Xenopus tropicalis: one gene and its partner. The protein of the gene in region 1 interacts with the protein of each later gene in a biochemical or structural test. Links are inferred from orthologs where the notes say so. Each region holds a gene or a part of one and is shown in the gene's direction. Other genes may lie near its edges.

The links.
Region 2: the proteins of eya2 (region 1) and six1 form a complex in vitro, tested with the Homo sapiens proteins (2 studies listed by IntAct, with this or other methods). The link is inferred for Xenopus tropicalis from reciprocal best matches to the Homo sapiens genes EYA2 and SIX1.

The regions. Positions count from the first base shown.
Region 1 is NC_030686.2:37,332,980-37,337,396, reverse strand, and holds part of eya2 (eyes absent homolog 2), read left to right. Parts: intron 1-1,764; coding exon 1,765-1,832; intron 1,833-2,522; coding exon 2,523-2,700; intron 2,701-2,860; coding exon 2,861-3,039; intron 3,040-4,417. UniProt on the Homo sapiens protein: Functions both as protein phosphatase and as transcriptional coactivator for SIX1, and probably also for SIX2, SIX4 and SIX5.
Region 2 is NC_030684.2:102,414,051-102,419,053, forward strand, and holds the start of six1 (homeobox protein SIX1), read left to right. Parts: upstream 1-1,618; 5' UTR 1,619-1,719; coding exon 1,720-2,279; intron 2,280-5,003. UniProt on the Homo sapiens protein: Transcription factor that is involved in the regulation of cell proliferation, apoptosis and embryonic development. Plays an important role in the development of several organs, including kidney, muscle and inner ear.

The DNA.
Region 1 (4,417 bases):
TTCATTTGAAACTGGGTGAAAAAGAAAACAATGATGGGATTAGCTTCCCCTTGAAACCGTGTGAAATAGAAAACAATTAGGGCATTAACTTCCCCTTGAAAATGTGTGAAATAGAAACCAATGAGGGCATTAACTTCCCCTTGAAAATGTGTGAAATAGAAACCAATGAGGGCATTAATTTCCCCTTGAAAATGTGTGAAATAGAAACCAATGAGGGCATTAACTTCCCATTGAAAATGTGTGAAATAGAAACCAATGAGGGCATTAACTTCCCCTTGAAAATGTGTGAAATAGAAACCAATGAGGGCATTAACTTCCCATTGAAAATGTGTGAAATAGAAACCAATGAGGGCATTAACTTCCCCTTGAAAATGTGTGAAATAGAAACCAATGAGGGCATTAACTTCCCCTTGAAAATGTGTGAAATAGAAACCAATGAGGGCATTAACTTCCCCTTGAAAATGTGTGAAATAGAAACCAATGAGGGCATTAATTTCCCCTTGAAGCTGGGTGAAATAGAAAACAATGAGGGGATTCACTTCTCGTTGAAAGTTCAAGGACAGGCTGTCACTGACTATTCTATTCCTCTACTATTCTGTCTGGTACTCAACAGATCAAACCTGCCAAATTCTTTTTTTATTTTAGAAAAACTCGAAATTTTTGGCATAACAATAACAAAAAAAATCAAGTTCTGCCGAAATCGCATTTGTAAATCTCGAAATTATCTAGAAGTAAGAAAAAATCCGACTTTATCTCAGAATTGCTTAGTACTAGACTATATTTGGGTCCATGATAAAAAGGCTAAGGAACCCTAGACTAATGATTATCCTCTGCCGACTGGTGCAGCTGCGTCAGAAGTTTTCAGATGGTGTTACATAATTTATTGATATTACTGTCCTCCAAAACACATCATGTTCTGGAATATCATACAATATCCTTTTTCTTAAACAAACTTGCATTTTTCTTCCAAGTATGTGGTCCTGATTTCCAACTGTGCTTTGGTAAATGAAAGATACTGAATTTTGTGAAAGCCAAAGAAAATCATAGAATGTGTTGACATCCGAGCGATGCATTGTGGGATATCCCAGTCATGTCTACCCAAGGATATGTGCCAACATTTTCTATGACCCATGGTAGCAAACATCTCAAGCATCATAAGAGATTTTTTAGCCATTTAGAAACACATTATCACCAGGCAGAAGACAATAGATTATCCATGCCCATTGTCCTGGGTGATGTGCTGCAGAGATTCCCATAAACAGAGAGTCAGTTTAACATTTCGAATACTCAATTTTTTACGCTCGGAAGCTACATGTGGTAGCAAATTGCTTCTAGAACCATATCCCCGTCTAGCTCCTTCCTGGCAAAAATTGTCTTTCTCACTGGCCCCTGGCACGCAGTCGTTTATTCAGCTGTTCATTCCCTAGTTAATCCAGAATCTTAAAATAAAAACAAACAAGGTCTTTAGGGAGCGGACGCAGGGAGACTATATACTGAAACCCTGTCCACACTTGAAATAGAGGAATAAGGATTCTAATCGGTGGTCCAAAATCGTCTTGCATTGGTGGAGGAGAGGTTGACCCATATCTAATATTGAAATCTGCTGAAATAATAGAACTCAAGCCGCAATATCTTCAAACAGCCCAAAGCCGGACATCTAGGTTTTAAAGTATTATAAAAATCTGTTTTTATTTAAGATAAATGGGGTGGGATTTAAAGCAGCCTGATGTTCCTTGTAACAAGGTTTATTGACTCTTTGCTTAGGTCCATCGGGTATTTATCAAGGAGCCAACGGTTTGACCAACGCAGGAGCCTTTGGAAGTGTGCACCAGGTAAGATTCAATTGGGAAACCTTGTCTTTTTGCATCATGTTTTGCGCAGGAGTATATATCTGTATTGGAACGATCAGACTACTCTGAGAGATCCACTTAGGTGGTACTTAGTTGGAAGTTATCTGACAGTTATCGGATTCAGAAGTCATTTTAGGTCTGGAGTTTATTACTTCAGCCAGGGTCATCTTTCACTGGGGCAGGGCCAGGACAAACACCATTGTGGGTAACCATTATTTGTATAGAATTGTCTTATCCATGGTCCTTTGGCTTTTGCCAAGCACTGAGGGTTGTGTGCCCTATTCTAACCATCTCATAATACTGCCACTGCCTTGCCCTACTGTCTCCATCTTGCCCAACTCTACAGTTGCCATCTTGTTCTTCTGTTTCTATCCTGTCCTACTGTCAATAGTTTGACCATCATGCCATCTAATGCTTTACCCTACTGGCACTAATTTTAACCCATCATATACTATTGTCATTATTTTGCTATCTTGCTCTATTCTTACCTTGCCCTACCGTATGTGCGTCACCCTCACACTTTCTACCTACAACTACTAGTTAGCTAAGTCCTCTGTATGTAGGGCCAAGGGCATTTGCCACTATTTGTTCCATATTAAAGAGCTCAGTCCAAGCCCGACATTTATCCTTTATTATGTATCTAATACTAAGGTTCACATTTATTTTTTTAAGGAATATTCATCATATCCAGGCTTCAGTCAAGGCCAGTACCCACAGTATTACAGCTCTTCGTACAACTCTCCATATGTACCCACAAACAGCATCAGCCCCACAGCCCTGTCTACAGCCGCATACTCAATCCATGAATCCTCTCACCATGTCTCCAATCAGAGCACAGAATCACTATCAGGTAGGTCATGCAAGTATTGATTGGTTGAAGGGACCCTGTCCTTTAGTGGGTTTGGCCACTGGGTCAAACAGACAAAAGTGCCTATGAAGGCAAAGTCACTGTATAAGCATCTTCAAACCTTCATCAGCATCTTAAAACCTTAATGTTTTTGTGTTTGCAGAGGAGGAATTAAATTGCACTACCCATTATGTTTCAGGGGAGTACAACACTCATAATGGTCCCTCCACCCCAATTAAAGATTCAGAAAATGATCGACAACAGCGAGGATCTGACGCCAAATTACGCGGAAGGTCTAAAAGAAGTAATGACCCATCTCCTGCAGTGGATAATGAAATAGAGGTATGTCATTTCAACAAACATGTATACGTGTGTGTGTGTATAGATAGTATAGAAATAAACATATACACATATACAACTACTCCACCACAAGGGTGTTCTAGGGTGCATTGGTACTTATTGCTATGCATGGATATGCCTTACACCATCCTCGCCACCAAACATGGCATTTGGACATGAAAGAAAACAGAATTATAAGTGAGGGGTAGGTTTTTTGTCTTAAATGGAACATTCCAAATATCTTCTCGAGGGCAGCGTTGCCAGTCATAATAAATGCAGACTGGTAATAGTCTATTGTGCCAAACTTTCCCAGATGTTGCGGATTACAGCGTGAACTCTGCTCTTGCTAAAAAAGTACCAAACAATTAATGAGCTGTGATTTACTGACTTTGGAATTAAATGATTTGGAACACGATTGTGTCAGGTCAGGGGGAACAGGCAGAAACACATGTTCCTCTATATCAATGGGACAACTCTAGCAATGTTGTGTTGAAAAAAAAGATGGTCATCATTAACAATGACATGGGGCTTGTGTCCAAAAATATCACAATACCGTCTTATATTGATGTTATTGTTGCTTTTTTTCTGTTTGCACTTTTTCCTGGTGATTGTTTGCATTGAGTCAGCTGACTCCCTGCCAAGAACTAGCACAATGTTTGTGAGAGACTGTCCAGAAACAGTTTATTTCAAGGAGCAATGTTAAATTGCTGATGGGCTCGGTTTTGTGTGGTCTTGTTGCTCAAAGAGCAGTAACTGTACTGCCCACACCTGTACCACTGCGATATGAATCTGCCACGGTCACTGTGACCGCTTTTTATCTCTCCTCCAATCTACTCTCTAACAGAGAGTGTAGTCACAAGTTCCCAGATAGACTTTGGGCTTTTTATTTCTGAATTACACTGTTTACATAAGAAATAATTCACTTTACAATTTAAAGTTTTATTTTTGAACCAACAAATGTATTTTTTTAGCTGTAATATTGGTGTGTAGGCGCCATCTCAGTGCATTGTGTCTGAGTCTGAGCAAGCGCTACACATTAGAACTGCTTTCAGGTAACCTATTGTGTATCCTACTCCTATGTAACTGGAGGAGTCCCAAGCCAGACTTGGATTTCTTACTATTGAGTGCTGTTCTAATACCTGGGATACCTGGGAGCTGATATCTTGCTCCCTTCCCATTGTTCTGTTGAGCGGCTGCTGGGAGGGGGGGATATCACTCCAGCTTGCACACCATTGTTACTTAAAATCTGGCAAATCTATTACACATTTGCCTAGATTAAAAAAAATCCTTATGCCAAGCATTGTCATGTGTCATCAATAGGATTAGAATCTGTTCTACAGAATAGCTAGGCTAGAGCAATATGGAAGCTCCAAATATACAA
Region 2 (5,003 bases), on another chromosome or scaffold:
GCACATGAAAATAAATTAAGGAAGACTTAGTTACTTTACCCACAGCAGTCTGGTTAGGGATTTTAAAGAAGGTCTTCCTACTTCCTACTTAATTCAGTGTGATGTCTGTAGGGGCCCTGCTTATTAGCACATAAACAAACACTCACCCACCCATGTTTTATATGTATCCAGTTCTACCATATTGCTTATTATCTGTATTCCATTTAAGTGTGCAGTGCTTTCATGCTTGTGTAAATATTCACATAAAAAATATACAATATGTGTATGTTAATTTGGGCCTATGTAATACAATACCATGTTCATTTAGGACTAAGTGATCCAGGTTCAATTATGTACCAGCCAGAGAGCATTTTATATGTGTTTGTGGCAGTGGTTGGTACAACTGAGATCCCTTCCACTACACCTACTTATAACAGGGGAAAGGGGAATTTGATAGGGAGCAATATTGTTCTCTGTCCCATTGGCTGTGGGCACACGTCTGGCCAACTGTGTCTAATTAATGCGAATATCCTTTATTAGGTCATGTGATCATTCTTACCTGATAGCCAAAGTGTATGAAATGACTAGTCAGTCAGTGCCTGAGGATTGCTTTCCCACCTCTCTGTTCCCTTATCTGAACCTATTGTTCTTATCTCTGAGCCTCCAGTGCTACCAACAATACATTATCTGTGTTTACAAAGCCTAATTGTTTGGGAAATCTTTTTAATAATTGCTTTCAAACAAGGTGTGCAAATGAGGATCAACTTAATTAGAGTGGGACTTCTCTGGGCAATTTTACTAAATACCCTCTTCAAATAAACGAAATATCATGCCTCAGAGTGTTTTCTTTCAGCCTTGCCATTCTCTCTTCAATTAGCCAAGTATTTCCCCACACCCACGGGCCATTATTTCCTCTGGATTCCTGCAAAAGAGGGCAAATTATACGGCTTAACAAAACAAAAAATAATATTTAGATGTTGGATTGTAAGTAGTTCTAATATATATATATATAGATATAGATATATAGATAGATAGATAGATAGATAGATAGATAGATAGATGATAGACACACATAATATAACGCATATATTTGTGTGTTACCCTCACAAATCCAGAGGAGGTTTGTGTTGCCCCAGCCTAAGGAGTAAGATTGAGATACTAGAAGGATTACGACTTGGGAACCATACTGCAGCCCTATGTTAAAGCTCCATCTTGGAGTTAATTATTCATCCCTGAGCAGGAGCCATTCATTAAGCTATGATTTATTCATCCCCAACATTAAGGTAATTAAATAGCAGCTCACCTGAAATGGACAATGGCATTTTTTGATTTTTCTCTCTCTCACACACACACAAAGGCCCTGCTGGAATAATTGATTTGTGCAGAGATGAGCCCTGCTCCCCTTAGGTGATACTTGAGACGGGGCTCATGTTGCAGGGCCCTGACGTGTCTCCCCCCTGAGGGCAGCAGCATCACCCCTGTGCCCTCCCCACCCTCCAGCCTGTGCAGCTCTCTGTGCATATCCAGCCCCCGCAGGCGCAGCCAATCAGTGCGCGCAGCCAATGGGAGCTTTAAGGAGGCAGCTAACTGGAGAGAAACAAAGTTGTTCCAGCTCCGGGCTGCAGCATCCCCCAGACAAGCCAGTACTTTCCCTGCGCTCAGAGCCGTGGATATAGCGTGTGCTCCCCGTGTATGCCTTTACGTGTGCGCTGTGGGCCCCTGGCTGTGCCACACTGAGCCATGTCTATGCTGCCTTCCTTTGGCTTCACTCAGGAGCAAGTGGCCTGTGTGTGCGAGGTGCTGCAGCAGGGAGGCAACCTGGAGAGACTGGGCAGGTTCCTATGGTCCTTGCCAGCCTGTGATCACCTCCACAAGAATGAGAGTGTGCTGAAGGCAAAGGCCGTGGTGGCATTTCACAGGGGCAACTTCAGAGAACTGTATAAGATACTGGAGAGCCATCAGTTCTCCCCGCACAACCACCCCAAACTGCAGCAACTCTGGCTCAAGGCTCACTATGTGGAAGCAGAGAAACTGAGGGGGAGACCGCTGGGGGCAGTGGGCAAGTACAGGGTCAGAAGGAAATTCCCCCTGCCCAGGACAATCTGGGATGGAGAAGAGACCAGTTACTGCTTTAAGGAGAAGTCCCGAGGGGTGCTGAGAGAATGGTATGCCCATAACCCTTACCCGTCTCCCAGGGAGAAGCGGGAGCTGGCTGAGGCCACTGGACTAACCACCACCCAGGTCAGCAATTGGTTCAAGAACAGGAGGCAAAGGGACAGAGCGGCGGAAGCAAAAGAGAGGTAAGGGGCACAGGGAGATGGCACTCTAGCAGGAGACAGCAGCCTGGAGCCGAAACGTTAGCACTCAGAAAGGAAGCCCCCAGGCCCAAGCCCTCAGCCGTGTAGCCCATGATCCCTGGGCAGCTAAAGCTTTTCTGGACTTCTGATCCCAGTACTAACCCCCCTCCACCACCGCCACACACACACACATTTGTGGGAGAAAAAGACCACCTACCCCTGGCTCCATTCCTACTCCTGGTGTGTGCCCTGTTTGGGAATCCCACGTGGGTTTGCATGAAACACATTGCCAGTCAGCCTGGCAGCGATAGGGTTACAACCCCCCCCCCCCCCCATGCCAGTATTAGGAAAGCTGAGCTAAGAGACAAACTGTGGTTCATACTTGGTGAGATGGTGACCCTCTCCCCCTAATGGATACACCGCCAAATTAGGTAGAAGCTCTGAGTACACGTTCCCTGTGACACCAGAATAAACAAACCCAGGGCAGCAGGGGAACAACAATTTTTTTAGTTCAGCACATGCTCTACTTCAGCACAGGGTGTACCATCCCTTTCCCACTGACTGGCGCTATAGGGGACTTTCTCACAGCATGTGATTTGATTTGGGCCTGCAAATATATCAGCAGCAAATGTCACACTTACATATTTCCCCCTCCCCCGGAATGTATTTTTGTCCCTTGTTTAGAAATCCCCCCCTTCATGGGGCTCCCTTGGATTTAGATTCTTCTTTTAACAAATGTATTTGTTGCCTGCGATTCTATCATTTAAAACCCAGAACTTCATGAAGCTGTCAATATAAATCTAAGGTCTTTCGTGTTCCATTATGTCGCTGTCTAATCAAACCGCCCATCTGAGTGTCTGTTTTACCATTATTTGTAAAACTGTCTTACATATAGTTACATAGCAGTTAAGCATGAAATAATACACCCGTCTGCTTAGTTCCAACTTGCCTAAATAAATCCTAATTTGTAGTACACTCAGAAGGAAACCTAAAATGATCTGTAGTTGTGTCAAGTTTGTCTAAAAATATAAAAATAAATCTAGATATCTATCCACCTATCGCCCTATCTTTTGTTATGAGTCAGTCCATCTGTCTTTATCAGTTTATCTCTCCATCTACCAATCATCTATTAGTCTGTCTATCCGTCTGACATATATCAGTCTATGTATCCACCCATGTAGCTAGTATATGTTCTGTATCCTTGTGCTAGTCTATTTGTTACGTGTAGTTTGGTAGGGAAAGCAAAAGAAAGGGGGGCTACAGTGAATACACATGGTACATATATGGCATTGTTACTTTATTTTAGAATCCACATTAGGCTGAGAACCCTGAAGTCCCGCAGGCCAGGAGTGTGACCTATTCCTCAGCAAAGGACTGTCCCTTCATATGCCCCTGAATAGACAGGACTCTTTAGTTCGCTTTAATTAGGGGACCCAAGCCCTTCACACTAACCACATACAGTTATAGGAGTTTATACACGAACAAAACTATTTAAAAAAGCATACGAGTGCCTCCATTTGGCCTGTCAGAAAATTTCTTAAAAAGAAGGGTATTTTTTCTGCAGGCAAAAGCTCTGCACATTCTCTGAGTCCGAAAAATGACAAAAGTAGATGTTAGACAGAAAGATAGATCGATAGATAGAAACATTACATTAATACAGGTAAATAACAGATACACTGTCGATGGATGGATGGATGGACAGACAGATGATTGATGATAGATGATAGATAGATAGATAGATAGATAGATAGATAGATAGATAGATAGATAGATAGATGATAGATAGATAGATAGATAGATAGATAGATAGATAGATAGATGATAGATAGATAGAATCATTATATCGATATATAGATGACTGTAAACTTTACACAAATATAGATAAATTGATATGTAGACAGGTAACAGAATGCTTTACAAAGATATAGATACATATATTTTAATTATTACATTTAGATAGTTAATTCGACTAGATAAGAATACATAGATTAATAGACAATTCGACCATGTAGTTTTATTTCTGTTTATATCTAATAATCTATTCTACAGTATTTTGATAATTGGGTCAATGCACAGTAAGACATATTAAATACTGATAGACAGGTAAATAATTAGATAAATAGACAATCGACTAGGTAGTTTATCTATTTAAATTCGGACGAGGAAGTTTTAAATCTGTTTTTACTCATATCCGTTTATATCTAATCATATATATCATAGAATATTTAGATAATTGGTTATACACCTTAAATAAATAGTTTACTGTTGGACAGATAGAAGTCACCATACATACCTGAAAGATTTAGACAAGTAATTAAAAGACTAAAATCTTAAATATCTAGATAAAGTGGGGTATATTTGAACTGATTCCATTGAGTGATAGGACTGGGTAATAGCACAGCGCTGGGAATGTTTATTCGTGCTGTATTGCGTACTATAGACTATGGCTACGGATTGATTGATGATGGTTAGATATAGACAGACCCGCATTCGTGCATAATGCTTCTAATGTTCTATAACTGTGTGTCTGTGTATATGCTTGCGTTATGTGTGTGTATATAACATGCGCAAAAGAATATGTGTGTCAGACGCTGCTTCTCTAGCTCCTGATAGATTATATACAGTGAATATAACATCTTATTTCCATGTCAATAATCTGACGATTAGTTTTGTTAACTGGATGCAATTAAGACGTGCTGCCTGTTATTAAGTTATTTCTTGTTCCTT